Linked DNA regions of Caenorhabditis elegans. The protein of the gene in region 1 purifies or fractionates together with the protein of each later gene. This does not show direct contact. Each region holds a gene or a part of one and is shown on either strand. Other genes may lie near its edges.

What was found.
Region 2: the proteins of smc-4 (region 1) and capg-2 purify together in Caenorhabditis elegans (affinity purification with western blotting; one study listed by BioGRID). This does not show direct contact.
Region 3: the proteins of smc-4 (region 1) and capg-1 purify together in Caenorhabditis elegans (affinity purification with western blotting; 2 studies listed by BioGRID, with this or other methods). This does not show direct contact.

Annotation. Positions count from the first base shown.
Region 1 is NC_003281.10:4,584,915-4,589,683, forward strand, and holds the start of smc-4 (Structural maintenance of chromosomes protein 4), read left to right. Parts: upstream 1-2,586; 5' UTR 2,587-2,591; coding exon 2,592-2,741; intron 2,742-2,794; coding exon 2,795-2,860; intron 2,861-2,904; coding exon 2,905-3,219; intron 3,220-3,267; coding exon 3,268-3,441; intron 3,442-3,482; coding exon 3,483-3,775; intron 3,776-3,821; coding exon 3,822-4,566; intron 4,567-4,614; coding exon 4,615-4,769. Other genes in the region: F35G12.5 (SPK domain-containing protein), read left to right, coding at 1-80, 266-368, 416-543, 593-717, 765-900, 951-1,076, 1,127-1,249, 1,295-1,390 and 1 more; F35G12.7 (Divalent-cation tolerance protein CutA), read right to left, coding at 1,838-1,960, 2,005-2,092, 2,141-2,200, 2,245-2,321. UniProt on the Caenorhabditis elegans protein: Central component of the condensin I complex, a complex required for conversion of interphase chromatin into mitotic-like condense chromosomes. The condensin I complex introduces positive supercoils into relaxed DNA in the presence of type I topoisomerases.
Region 2 is NC_003283.11:12,269,146-12,273,914, reverse strand, and holds the start of capg-2 (CAP-G condensin subunit), read right to left. Parts: upstream 2,043-4,769; 5' UTR 2,032-2,042; coding exon 1,727-2,031; intron 1,681-1,726; coding exon 970-1,680; intron 927-969; coding exon 545-926; intron 472-544; coding exon 7-471; intron 1-6. Other genes in the region: tsfm-1 (Elongation factor Ts, mitochondrial), read left to right, coding at 2,366-2,449, 2,508-2,653, 2,735-3,162, 3,209-3,501; twk-24 (Potassium channel domain-containing protein), read left to right, coding at 4,605-4,733.
Region 3 is NC_003279.8:7,637,517-7,642,285, reverse strand, and holds the start of capg-1 (Condensin complex subunit capg-1), read left to right. Parts: upstream 1-2,500; 5' UTR 2,501-2,522; coding exon 2,523-2,770; intron 2,771-2,811; coding exon 2,812-2,914; intron 2,915-2,971; coding exon 2,972-3,178; intron 3,179-3,226; coding exon 3,227-3,397; intron 3,398-3,455; coding exon 3,456-3,558; intron 3,559-3,901; coding exon 3,902-4,126; intron 4,127-4,173; coding exon 4,174-4,594; intron 4,595-4,646; coding exon 4,647-4,769. Other genes in the region: F26A3.1 (Lipid droplet-associated hydrolase), read left to right, coding at 519-669, 720-902, 1,071-1,306, 1,352-1,459, 1,507-1,690, 1,737-1,861.

The DNA.
Region 1 (4,769 bases):
TCGTAAAAACTGGGAGAATGGAGATGAGCCTGGAGGAATTCAAGACGATGTTTAAAACGGTGATGAAAAAGGAATTCGAGGTAGTTTATAATTTGTATAAGTTCTGAGACCTCTCCGTTTGATCCTAAGAAATTGCGGCTATTTTGCAAGCTTTTCTTAAAATTGAAATTCCTCTGGAGTCACATTTTCTGCACCTTCTAAAATCCAACGGGGAATTGAAGTTCTATCAAAATGAATTTTGAAAGTATAACTTTCCTTTTTTAAGGATGAGTTGCATCGAATTACTGAACCAGGAAAATCCAAAATGGCAATCGAAAGGTACATCCAAGGAATCAATCTTTTGGATAAAAAATGCATTCTTGATAATGGTGATTCTTTTCTTTTTGAGAATTGTTTATTATTTCTTTCTTTTCAGATGAAAATCACAATGTCCTGTTCAAGTTTGCGCCGATTGATCAGGACTTTGCGCATTCTTCGACAAACCTGAGCACGCCATCACCATTGGAGGAAGAATCGGCACGCGAAAACAATCACGAGGCTCAGGTAGAATGCCGAAGTTTTGGAAAATTAAAACCAAACGGGTTACCTTCAGGAATTGGATATAACTGAAAGAATTGCTCGCATGAATCTCATAGGAGGGAGCGAGTTCCAAATGCAATATTCTTCTTTCCTTACAGCAGTGTCAACGAAACCTTCAACAGATGCTAGTTTGAAAAAGTATTTTATCAAGCACCTTATGCATTTTATTATTCGGTTTTCTGTAGGGAAGCAAGACGACTCGCTGAAATTTGGTGGGCAAAAAATTTGAGATTTTTTCCGCAAACCATGTACGTGCTGCAGAAACTTGATCAGAAAAATCCAGATGGGTTTAATTACACTGATTTTGAGGAAGAGGTTCAGGTAATAATTTAATCTTATTGTTAAACAAGGGAGAAATTTAGTACGTTTAGAAAGTGATCCCAAGGTCCTGGATACAGAACCATCATTCATTTACACTCTTGTCGCTGTTGAATGAAGAGAGCCTTTACGTGAAGTTCAACTTGATAATGCCCTCGGATTCTGAGAATATGAACAGAGTAAGCTATTATATTTTGATTGGTCAAGAAAGTAAATCAATATTTTTAAGGTGAAGGTCAACCAAGTAATTAAATTTCTCGGTTTCCATGAAATTGGAGACTGTGAGTTTTCTATGATCTATCAATATGTTAGTTCAAAGTCCGCTTCAGAATCTACATACAGCATCCACAAAGTGAGAGTTTTTTTAGTGGATTTCTTTTCAACTTCGAATTTTCAGTTCATGTGTGAAGACTTTCCGGGATGGGAGACACAATACAATAACGAAAAGAAAAGCATGGATAGGATCTTTGAGATAATTATTCAGGAGCAAAAAGTAAGAATGATTGAACATATATGAGAAAACATTTCAATGTTTTTCAGTTATTTTGGACGGAATATGATTATCATACATACAAACGCCATGCATACAAGATTGCTGTCCCGATGGTCTTCTCGCTTAACATTGTAGACAAAGCTGTTGGAGTTCGAAGTGATGCTCGCTAGCTAGTTAATGATAGCCCTGTCTTTCCCGTTCAACTCGATCTCTTTGAAAAAAATTCATTAAATCACATCAGAATCGCTCGAAAAAAAAATTTGAAGCTTTCAAGACAATCCCCAAAAAAGCATGCTCAAATCGTTATTTTGGAATCTTCAAATTTTCGGAGCATTTTTTCTTATTACGATGTTTTTTTCCTTAGCCAAATCTGTTTGTATGTATTTATCAGTTCCCGTTGATTTAATGTTTAGTTGGTAGAAATAAATATGAATAAAGTTTTAAGTTTCAATGTTTCGCAGTTGAAGAATTCGTAGAATCCACAATCCATCCTCCAAAATCGGGAGTTATTTTGTCAATGGCCAGTGTGAAGAAGCACGGAGTTTCAGCCGGATGAAGAGATCGAACACGCTGAAATTGAATGAAAATCTTAGTGATCCGAAATAAAAACATACAGCTGATAGCTCTTCGACTTTGCTTTCTACAGTTTTCAAGATCACGACATGCTCTTGATCTTCTTCAATTTTTCCTTGCCATTTGTATCTGAATATCTGGATTCTCGCACAGATTTAAAAAAGATAAAATACTTACACAGATGTGACTTCCGGAATAACATTGGCGCAAGCGGCTAATGCTTCAGTGACAGTTGTTCTGAAATGAAATTATGTTTTGGTAGACAGAAAACAAAAAAATACCTTGCCACAGTCATTGCAACTTCCTTACTCGGAGCTGTCACATACGCGACAACCATTTTTACAGCGGGTGTTGTCATTTTTATTTGAAAACTTATTTTATGTTGAAGCAATTCAGAAATGTTTAATTAATTACCGTACTTCATTCTAGCTCTCGTCGTATAATTAAATGTATGGGTCGCACTTGCGCGTCACGGTGTTTGCACACACTTGTATGCGCGCCAAAATTTTGTTCGAATTTCACCGCCAATAATTGTTTAGCCGCTGCTGTCCCACTTTTTGTTTTTGTTGGGAAATGTCTTTTTCATATTAAGCACTCAAATCCTAAAAATCAACGTATTTTAGGGTTGATGCCTCCGAAGACTTCGGCGGCGCCGCCACAATCAGACGAATCTGATTCTGATTTTGATGACGCTCCTGTTAAAAAGCCGCAGAAAAAGACAACGAAGCCTGTGAACCGACACAAGGAAGGATCAAAGGACCCGGAAGAAGAACTACAGGTATCCCTCTCAGAATATTTAAAAGCAGCAATAAAACTGAAATTTTTATTCAGAGAGCGGTAAATGAAAAATTTGATGGAAGCGACGGAGAGGACGACGACAGTGATCTTTTCTCATTGGTATGTTACTCTGTTTTTAATATTAAAGTCATTACATTTTACAGCAACTGCCATCGCGACCCGATTTCCTTACAAAACCGAATCGGGCGGATCGTTTGATGATTCGCAATGTTGAAGTGGACAATTTCAAGAGTTACTTCGGCAAGGCTTCCATTGGACCATTTCACAAAAGTTTCACATCAATTATCGGTCCAAATGGATCTGGAAAGTCTAATTTAATCGATTCGCTCTTATTCGTTTTCGGTTTCCGTGCTTCCAAAATTCGTTCTGCAAAAGTGTCAAATTTGATTCACAAAAGTGCTGGAAGAAATCCAGACAAATGCACAGTCACTATTCATTTTCAGCGGATCGTCGATATTGTAAGTGAATCAGAGAATCTAATAAAATATAAATTTGCTTTTTTTCAGCCTGGGCATTACGAAGTCGTCAAGGATTCTGAGTTCACAATCTCTAGAACTGCTTTTCAAAATAACTCAAGCTCATATGCTATCGATGGTCGACCGGCAACGAAGAATGAAGTTGAAGCACGCCTACGACGCGTTGACATTGATATTGAGCATAATCGTTTTCTAATTCTTCAGGTAAAAGTGACAATAAAACCGGTAATAAACATTTTTTTCAGGGAGAAGTCGAACAAATTGCAATGATGAAACCAGTGAAAACCACCAAAAGTGAAACTGGAATGGTTGAATATTTGGAGGATATTATCGGAACAAACCGACTCGAGCCCTTTGTTAAATTATTCCAGCGACGCGTCAATCGTCTTACTTGTGATCTTTCTCAACAAAGAATCGCTCGTGATCACGCCAGAAACAGCAAAGTAGCTATGGAGAATCCAGTTAGAGCTGCAATTGAGTTTCTGATGAAAGAAAACGAGGCTACAACGATTCATATGAAATTGGAGCAAAGAAGACGGTAGTTCTGAAATATTCCAGGTTAAAATAACATTTAACGTTTTAAGGCAACGATACCTAGATAAAATTGCTCCAAAACAAGCCGAACTTGACAAGATGAAAGAAGAAATGAAATCGATTGCTGAAACGCTGGATACCAACAAAAACGAATACAAACAATCTGAGGAAGCTCAGAAAGTTATGATTGAAGAGCGTTCGAAACTCGACAAAAACTTTGATAGTCTATCTAAGGAATTGAGCGACTTGGGCACTGAAGAGACTCGCAGGAAGGAGGCTTTGAAAAGGCATCAAGCTAATATTTCAAAGGCGGAAGCTGAGAAGGAAAAAGAGGTTAAAAAGCGATCAAATCTGGAAGCAGCACCCGAAAAGGCGGAGAGAAAAATCGCAAAATGTCAGGAAGAAGTGGAACAGTTGCTTGAAATAGAGAAAACAGCTAACGAGGAAGCCGACAAGAATCTTGATGAATTTGAAAAACGCTCTGAAGCGCCAAAAGAAGAACAAAAGAAGATTCAAGAGACTTGGGCGCAGAAGAGCAACGAATTTAACAAAGTTCGAGGTGAAGCAAGGATTGCACGGGAAGATTTCGAGGATTTAAAGAAGCTCGCGAATTCTGGAACGGATAAGCTTATCGAACTGAAGAAACGATTAGAATCTTCAGAAGAAAGTTATGCGAAAGAGAAGGATGAGTTAGATAAGCTGAAGCCGGAATTTGATTCTTGGAATGATAAGTTAAAACAACTGAGTACAGAATTGCCAACTCTTCGAAATACGGCAAGACAGAAGAATCAAGATGTAGGTTTTCAAAAAGCCTGATAAATTTAAATAAATCCTATTTTACAGTTGGCAAAAACGCGTGATCGTCTCGAAACTCTTCGCCAGCAAAACTCGTCTTGCTCAAGTTCGAATAAAGTTATTCAAGCCTTAATGAAGGAAAAAGAAGCTGGAAGAATTAAAAGTTTTCACGGTCGTCTTGGTGATCTCGGTGTCATTGATCC
Region 2 (4,769 bases), on another chromosome or scaffold:
ACAAACCTTCAACAAATCCAAGACTTTAGTTCGGTATTCATCTTTCATTGCAATAAGATTTGATGTACTGTGACTCTGTAGCAAATATTTGAGACGGTTCAACGTCATAATCAGTACATCTTCTGGATCCTCCAATTCACGTCGTTTCTTCTTACTCTGTTTCGTTCCATACAAATTTACAAGAACATTAAGCCCACTATCGAATGAATCAAAAACAGAATCCGGGTTGAAATGAATTGCAGATTCAAGAAACGGCTCAACTGCTTCTGGAGGAACATCGTCGTCTTCCAGTCTTGCGAGAACATCATTAGCAATTGATTTAAGGTAATCTTTAGGAATGACACTGCTGATTGCTGTCGCAGTTCCGAGAATAGGAGTGTTGGCGTATTTTTCAAATATTTCCTTGACAACTTTTCCAAATATTTGATCACATTTCGCTTTTGAAGTTCCATCGCCATCTGACATCAGCATCTGAAAAAGTTTAGAAGTTTATAATGTTTTAAAAAAGGTCTTCAATTTTAAATTTGAGAAATAGAAAACTAACTCCTTTGCATGACATGTACAGAATGAGAGCACACTCAAGATAAGCTCTCGCTTTTTTGTATCCTTCGGCAGTCTCTGGTAATGGAGGGCCATCCTTTTTACGAAGATAACGATATGCCCAGGTTATAAACATTTCGATAAGTTTGGATGCTTGGGATGCATCAATGATTTTCATTGGGCCAAGCAATCGGAAGTAACTCAAAAGAGCCAATCGACTTTTTCCTAACATGTAGTTGACACGAGGACGATAGTATGCTTCATCCAGACTTTTCGAGATAGGAAGACAAATATGCATAATTGGAATCAGTTGACGGCGGCAGGTCTCTACGTTTTCCAGATCGAGTTTCGCAATGGCATCATCTCGAGTAATGATATCGAACACACTGAAAATTTATTTTTTAGTTTGTTGATTTGGGTTCATTTTACCTAATAAATTTATGATTCTTCAGACGAGAAATTATTTGGTAAGCAGCAAGACGAACTCGTTCAGATTTATCCTGTAGTGCTGGATCAACGGCACATTTCAATCCATATTCGAATGCTGTGAGACATGCCGGAACAAATGCCATTTCATTAAGACCTTCAAAAACGGCGACGCGGACGCTGACAACAGTGTCTTTCGCGACTGTATCAATGATGTATCCCATGAGTTCCTTCACGATATTTTTTGGAATAAGAAGCCAGAATTCGCTGATTGCCTTCAAGACATGTTTCGTGGCTTCGCTTCGAATGGAAATAACATCACTACGTAATAAGTCCATCATATATCGATGTTGGTTTTCCATTATCCTATCCATGTCTTCAGTATCCTCGCCAATTAGTGGGTAAAAATTGAAAAATACTTCTGCAGCTGATGACTGTACAATGTAATTTGGAGCGTCCAGCGCTCGGTAAAGACATCCATTGAGAAGCCTTGTCACCATTTCATCTACACTTTTGTCCAGTTTTTTCGCGTGTGCAAATGCGGCAATCACATTTTGAAATTTAGTGCAGGTAGGCCTGTGAGCATATAATGCATGCTGACACATGACACTGATCACATCGGTCTCCAATTCCTCTGTCAAATCAAAGTTAGCCTCCTGATATGCATTTCTCCAAGCTGTGACGAATACTTCACCATACCTTTGACATTCAGTGCTGCAAAAATATATATAAATGGAATTCTTCAGCGTATAAACTTTACTCGGTGAGATTGAACTTTAGTATTAACTTCTCGAGTAGTATCAGTCCATTTCCAACACCAATTTTTGGGAGAATTTCAGCTGATAATTTTATACCTTCCGGACAAATCAACAAGGCTGGTGCGAAGAAAATACACCGAAGAGTCGATGGATTTGCATTGGCAATAATATCTTCTTGAACTGCCCACAATTTTCTGATGAATGTTTTCTGAAGAGCCCGACCTCCTTTTCCACGGAACTCTGTGAGTAACTCATTCCAGTCTTCTGATGGTTGTTTGTTAGGTGTTACCGGATTGCTCTTCGGCATTGATCTCTTTACTGAAAATTTCTATGGAATTATAGAATTTATTTCAACAAAAAAATAGCAAAAAATAATAGTATTAAAGTTTTCACCTAAAAATAATTATAAATAATCAATAAAATAATTCAATAATATAATTTACCTCGCAATTAAAAAAAAAGAAACACATTTTCCTTGTTATGTTCAAAACGAATTCTTTCGCGCGGCCGTCTTTCTCATTGGGGCGCACTTGCCTTTTCATTTTTTAATGCAAAAAATGCCCAGAAAATTGCATAATTTGCTTTATTCTCTTAAAATAATTATCAATATTGACTGAAAACTAAAGTTTCCAATTTTAGAAATGTTTGCTAGAGCTCCATTTGTACGTCTACTATCAACGACTAGTCGAAACTTGGCTGAGGCCGAAAAGAAAGTCTCTAAAGAGGTATTAAAATCTAGGAACCCTAATTAATTTTAAAAAATAAAAAATAATTGTTTTTCAGGCTCTAATGGCTCTTCGAAAAAAGACTGGTTATAGTTATGTGAATTGTCGTAAAGCACTTATTCAGTTTGGCGAAAATGATATGGATAGTGCTGTAAAATGGTTGAAAGAAGCTGCAGCGAAGGAAGGATGGGCCAAAGCGGCAAAGTAAGTGTTTATTTTGAAATTTTTTTAATTTGGAATGTTGACTTCACAAGGAATTATTTTAATAGTTATAGAATATTCCAGACTTGGAACTCGTGTAACATCGAATGGTCTTGTATCTGTAGTCACGGACAACTCAACAGCAGCTGTGGTAGAACTCAGTTGTGAAACTGATTTTGTGGCGCGATCTGGAGCTTTCAAGGATTTGTTGTCAAACATCTCCAACTCTGTTCTCGCAAAAGCTAAGCCACAATCTATATCGAGCGGCTCAAAACTTCAAGAATTCACCTATGATCTTGGGGATCTGACCGATTCCGACGGAAAAAATATGCGTGAAGTGCTCTCCCTTTCAATCGGAAAGCTTGGTGAGAACATGACAGTGAGAAGAGTTAAGGCTTTTAAAGCTCCCGAAGGAACAACTTTGTTTGGAGCTTCACATCCTAAAGATGGAACTGATGATATCCCGATGGGACGGTTCATTTCACTCATCGCTCTAAATCAATCGAGTCCAGGTGAAACAAAGAAATAAAGTAAAAAATTAAGTCTTAACATTTACAGGGTCAATCAGTAGTCAGCAACTTGCCGGACAGATATGCCAGCACATTATCGGAATGTCCCCGGAATCCCTCGGCGAAGCTGCAGAATCTGTGAAAACTCAAGAAGGGCTTCGTAGTCAAGAAGGGCATGATCCAAATGCTGATCCAGTTGTTGTAACTAATATTGATGAATCGGAAACTGCTCTTCTCCGCCAAGCCTTCATGTTGAATCCATCTCAATCTGTTCATGAGTACCTAAAATCCCACAATGCTAACATTCTCGATTTTGTTCGTGTAGAGCTTGGAAGCGAATAATTAGATAAAAGTGGTAGTAACTTTATTTTCATGCCTTATTAGTTTTTAGAATGCTTTTGTTTCTCTGTTTTGTTAATCGATAAATAAATTTATCGACATATAAATTGAATTTAAAGTTTAAAAAATAAACATTTGCAATTTTCAGAACATTCCTCCGTGGAAAACAATTGAACAAGAAGACGATTAAAATGCATTTATTTTATTTCAGAAATTCATGGTCACTCGGATTTCTGTCGAAATCAAATGTATTTTAAGGTCACAATCCGCGAAAATTTAAAACAATTGTTGTAATATAGTAAAAATACGAGAAAACTGCTGAGAACACTCAGAAAACATATATATTTTTGGGGTACTGTATTGGTACTGTAGGAGTAATTGGTGATGTAGGTGTACTGTAGTATCACTGAGCTCTTTGTTGAAACATGCGATATTGTTCTAAATTGTATCGTTCTTAGATTTGGCAATTTATCAAGACAATCTGAAACAAATATTGTTGCTGAGTCTGTTACTCTTGTTCCAAAACTGAAGGGACTATCTTGGTCATTATCATCAAGTTAGACGGTTTCAGTTCCATTGACATGGCAAAAAATACGAAAGATCACCGAACATTCCTCATAGTTTTATATTCCAGATGTTCCCATTTCTCAAGTTCTCATACCACATTCCAAAGGAACACAACTCAACAAACCCCAATCTTTCTTCTTCGGTTTTCTTCTCAAGCTTCCTCATTTCTCATCGTCATTTTTCCTTTTCATCATCAAATGTGTATCAAGACGTGACGCCTATGTGCTCTCTTTGAGAGAGCACCGCTGTTGTAAAGGTAGAAGTAAAAGAATACACAAAGAGAATATCATGCGTTTTGCGTTTTCTGCTGTTTTTTTTTCGCCCGTGTCTTTCTCTCCTGCTCCTGTGGGATTCTTTGGGAAATTCACACTCTTCTCAAGATAGAGAAAAGATAATGATAAGAGCATTCTTTTCCATCTCTCTGTGATCCAATTGTTTTTTGTTTCTCTAGAGTTCATTGATTTTTATGTTATTACCACTTCCTTATCATCAACTTATCACCTACTTATCCTCTCATTGTTTTTGTTTCAGAAGGTGATATGAATGGAACCACAAAGAAAGATGATAAAATTGTTGCTGGAAGGAGCAAAAGTGCAGATAGTAAATGGAAAGATCGAATGAATCGAGGTCTTGGAAACATGTCTAAAAGTTTACCCAGTTTTAATAAGGTACTTACATCATCTAGGAAACTTACTGTAAGATGT
Region 3 (4,769 bases), on another chromosome or scaffold:
CATTTTCTACTGAAAGAGTCACTCAATACATAGTTTTGACATTCTGGGGAGTGTTTTGTATATTTTTGAAGATTTCTAGTTAACTTACAAACATAATTGAGTTATTAGGTCATTTTTGTTACAAAATTTCACAATTTTAATGGATTTCTGCTTAAAAGGTGAGCATTTGTGACTAAAAACTAGTGATCTCCAATTGAAAATAGCCGTTCGAAAATTAGTGCTGCAGCCTCCAGTAATACTGCAGTCTCTAATAGTGCTGCACTCAAAAAGGGCCTGGAAATTAGTGCTGCATGCAGCACTAATAGAGAATATACGGTATCTCTGTTTCCATCTTGTTTTAACGTTTTATTTATTTTTCTGTTTGTGTTTTCTTCTCCAAACTTGAGATAAAGCCATCTTCCTCCATCGATTTTTTACAGATGTTTAAAAATAATTATTGAGGCAGGTGAAAATTTCCCAACACAATATCATTCTTTCTAACCGCATTTTTCCAGTTTTTCTTATTTATTTACATATAGATGACCTCAATTCTTCGAAAAGTGGAATGGGTTCGAGTAGCAGGGAAATGGACGAAAATGTCCGTCATGGGGTTGGATATTTCAGACGAAACGCTGAAAATTCAGAAGAAAAAGGAGAACGAGAATCGAGTGATTATTTTAATGATTCCAGGTAAATCGGGAAATTGCGCTTTTAAAAATTTAAGAAAATTTTAATTTCAGGAAATCCCGGAAACGAAGGATTCTACGCTCATTTCGGACGAGAAGTTTTGCAAAATTTGATAAAGAAAGATGAAGATGAGCAGAAAAACTTGAAAAATCAATATTTATTCTACACAGTTTCAAGTCTCAATCATGTTCGAATGCCAGATCATTTGAAAGATGATGGAGAACATCGAAATCATGGTAATAAATACAAATAAAACGAAGAACCGTTCACTCCAGCCTTTTAACTTATTTAGTTTCGCCGATTTCGCAGTATTTTTCGCCCTTTTGTTTTTTTTTCAAATACCTAACGAGACTCATGGATCCGGTGCGGAGCGCGTTTTTACGTCGATTATAATATATTTCCAGACCGAATTTCTCTGGAGGAACAAGTCAATCACAAACTATCATTTGTGAAAGAGCACCTGCCACGTGGAAAGCAACTGTACATTTTGGGGCATAGCATTGGTTCGTATATGATGTTAAGAATCATTCCTGAAGTGATAAAAGAAGGATTCCACGTGGAAAAAGCTGTTGGACTGTTTCCAACGATAGTTCATATGGCAAACTCACCAAATGGGAAACGATTACATGGAACTTTAGCTGTAAATTCAATTTCTTTATTTTAATTTTTAATTGTAAACTTTCAGACATTGAACCATCATGATTGGCTCACAAAAACGATTTGCTGGTGGGTGGATTACCTGCCAAACTCGATCAAAAAATTTCTTGTTGGATTGAACCTGAGACATCCTAATGTAAATTTTTTTTTGAATGTCAAGCAACAAAAAACATAATTTTTCAGACTCCCCCAGAGATCGTCGATGCGGCAGTTGAGCTTGTCCATATGGATGTGTTCAGAAATATAGTTCACATGTCAAACGATGAACTTGATATCGTTTTAGACCTAGATGAGCGTCTTTTGGAAAAACAAGACGTGGTTCATTTCTATTATGGCCTCAAGGATGGATGGTGTCCAGTGCAGCATGGTATTGACCTTGAAAACGTTGTGTAGATTGAAAATAAAATTTATAGGATACTCCATGCGGGACAGACTTGGTGAGGAGCAGGTCACATTGGACGAAGACAATTGTGAACACGCTTTTGTTATTTCTGAAGGAGACATTATGGCGAGAAATGTTATAAAATATTTCGATTGATCAGTTGCTCCGAGTTTTCCGTACTTCAACCTGTGATTGCATTACCTAGAATTTTATCTTTTAATAAATATAAAAATATTTGCACATTTTATTGTTTTTCCTTTTCTATGTGTTTGTTTCTAACACCTGTTAATATTTCTTCAATTGATTAATTGATTTTATTTAAGTATTTAACAGGAGCTCTAGTTATTACTGCCAGGATTAAGTGGTGACGAAACAAACTTTATTGCTCTCTACTGAATTCTAGTCTACTTAGGCTTAGTAAACATTAAAAAACCCCTTTTCAATTCCGAAAGTTCCGTTTTTAAATAAAAAATAAATAAAACGGCGCGAAAGCATGTGCGCTCTAATGCAAATTTGAAATCGAAGAGAGCGAAACAGCAGATTGGCGTGCTCTAGTCGTTTCAGTCATTACCTCGTTCTTTTGTTTCTTTGGAAACTGTTTTATACACGAGTCTTTAAATGTTTAAAAAGATATTTTGTAATTTTCCATTTTTGGGACATATACAGATCATTTGTCGCCCCGGTATTTTCACTATCAGTGGAAATGCAGAGAATAACAAGATATTTTAACAATTCGACATGTGTTATTCTTTTTCTGAATGTCTATCTTTTTGTTAATTCATTTCAATTTTCAAATTTTCAGTAACCCACCCCTCTCATGCCACCGAAGAAGCGAATTCGCGGGCCGAAGTTGCCAGCACTTCGTGAGGAAAAATCAACTGGTACAGATGTGGCTTCAGATGAATCATTCAACGAAAGTGCTGATTTTTTGAATAATGAAGAATTAAACAATGATCAAAACGATGCGGAAAATACAGTTTTGAGCGAAGGTGTATCCACTCTTAGAATCAATGAAAACATGACAAAAGAGGATCGAGCTTGTATTTCTGCAGCACTTTTCATAAAGTAAGTATCAAAATGAAAAAAAAAACTAAAGTATTTTATAGAAAAAGAGTCGTAGAATCAATTCGAACAGTTTTTCAATCTCGTGATGATATTAATGATGAAATACATACCAGTTCGCGGAAACTGATTGCAGCATTTAAAAAGGTTAATTTATTTTAAAAATCGAAATAAAAATAATTTTAAAAATTATCCAATTTTCAGGCTGATCAGAATCGTAAGAAAAAGGTCGATTTAATGAAAGTTTTCCTTGATGAAATAGATGTCCGACTTTCAATGATTATCGAAGAGGTGACTGTTCCTGAGCATCGGGCTCGTGTCTTTAAATTAATCGCAGTGACAATAACTGAAATTCAAGCTTTCAAGCTTCCATCGGATCTCCTCGATTTTATTATCAATTTTATTAACACTGTGAGTATTCAATTTAATAAAAATCCGCATAATAAAACTTATTTTCAGTGGGGACATAGTGATAATGTTGCTGCGAGAATTAACACGACCTGCTTCATCAGTTATATATTCGAGACAGGGAAACGATATTTAACAACTGAGGGTGAATATTCTGGATTTGAAGTCAAGATTGCAGCTAAAATGTTTTTACAATTGAAGAGAGCACTGCTTGACAAGGAGGTTTGTTTCATTCAAAAGTTGATTCAATTCTGAAAAGCTGAAATTGAACTTTTTTCAGCAAACCGCCAGAGTTCCAGCTATTCGAGGCCTAGGATTCTTGCAAGAAATACCAATTCCATCGAATTGGCCAGTAGATGCTATGAAACATTCACCAAGAGAACGTAAGTTTTCAAACTTTTATAAAGGCGCACTAAATGAAGCAGCCGTAGAATTCAAAATTAAACTACCATATATTTTTTGGATCAAAGCACAAAAAAATTTATGGTAGTTTAATTTTGAATTTTGCGGCTGCTTCATTGTTTTTTCCTTGCATTTTACTGTTCAAAGTTGTTGAAAATCAGTTTTTTAATCCTTTTCACAGGAAAAACAAACATTTTAAATGAAAAATTCATACGTATTTTGAAACTTGGCCCATATAAAGAAATCCGTGCGCCTAGCATGCCAAGGTGTTGTGAAATTACTATACAATACCAGCGTTTGTTCTTTTTAAATTACAAATTTCAGTTCTTCTCCGTTCCTGTAGAGACACAGCATGGGAATGCCGACTTGTTGCAGTTCAATCAATGGTACCATTAGAAACAGATGTTAGACTACTTTCAGACATTGTCTATTATGACAAGTGTCTCAATGTTCGTGTCGCAGCACTTGAACAGTTTTCAAACCTCAGGCCAAACAAACATGTTCGCGAAAAAATTGAAATGCTTGATTTATGCCTGAAAGACCATGAAGGTTTGTTTGTAATTTATGACTAATGATATTAAATTGTAATTTTCCAGTAAATATTCGAGATGCGGCAAAGGAAGTTCTGAAGAATTGGGTTCGTAATTTGTCAACGAGATGGAGCGAAAGTCAAAAGAGCAAAGATTCCAATGATGTTGTCATTTTGAATTCTAATTCTGAATCCACAACAGGAGAAGAGAATAAAATGAAAGGATATATTCTTGCGGCCCAAGCACTTACATTGCTATGGCTAACGGGTGCTCTTGAAACATTGGAAGGTCACTCAAACTTGAGACGATTGATAACTCATACACTTGATGTTATTCGTCAAATGTACGTCTGTCAAGCGGATCCGATTAACACATTCGCAGAGGTTTTAATTAGCGATTTGAGAGAAAAAATGAAGTCAAGTGCGGTGCCGATTATTACTAAAAGTACTGTTGGATCAATTTTAGATGACAGCGAGCTTGCTGATACGTGAGTTTCTTGCTGGATTCATGGTTTTTTGCAGCAAGATTATCATTTTCAGACAAGATCCAAGCACCAATCGAGCCATGATCTTCTTTTGGAGATGTCTTGTTGATTATATTTCCGATAGAAAACGGAATGATGCTGATAAGATAAACGCCATGTCACGTTTCGTCAGTCCATT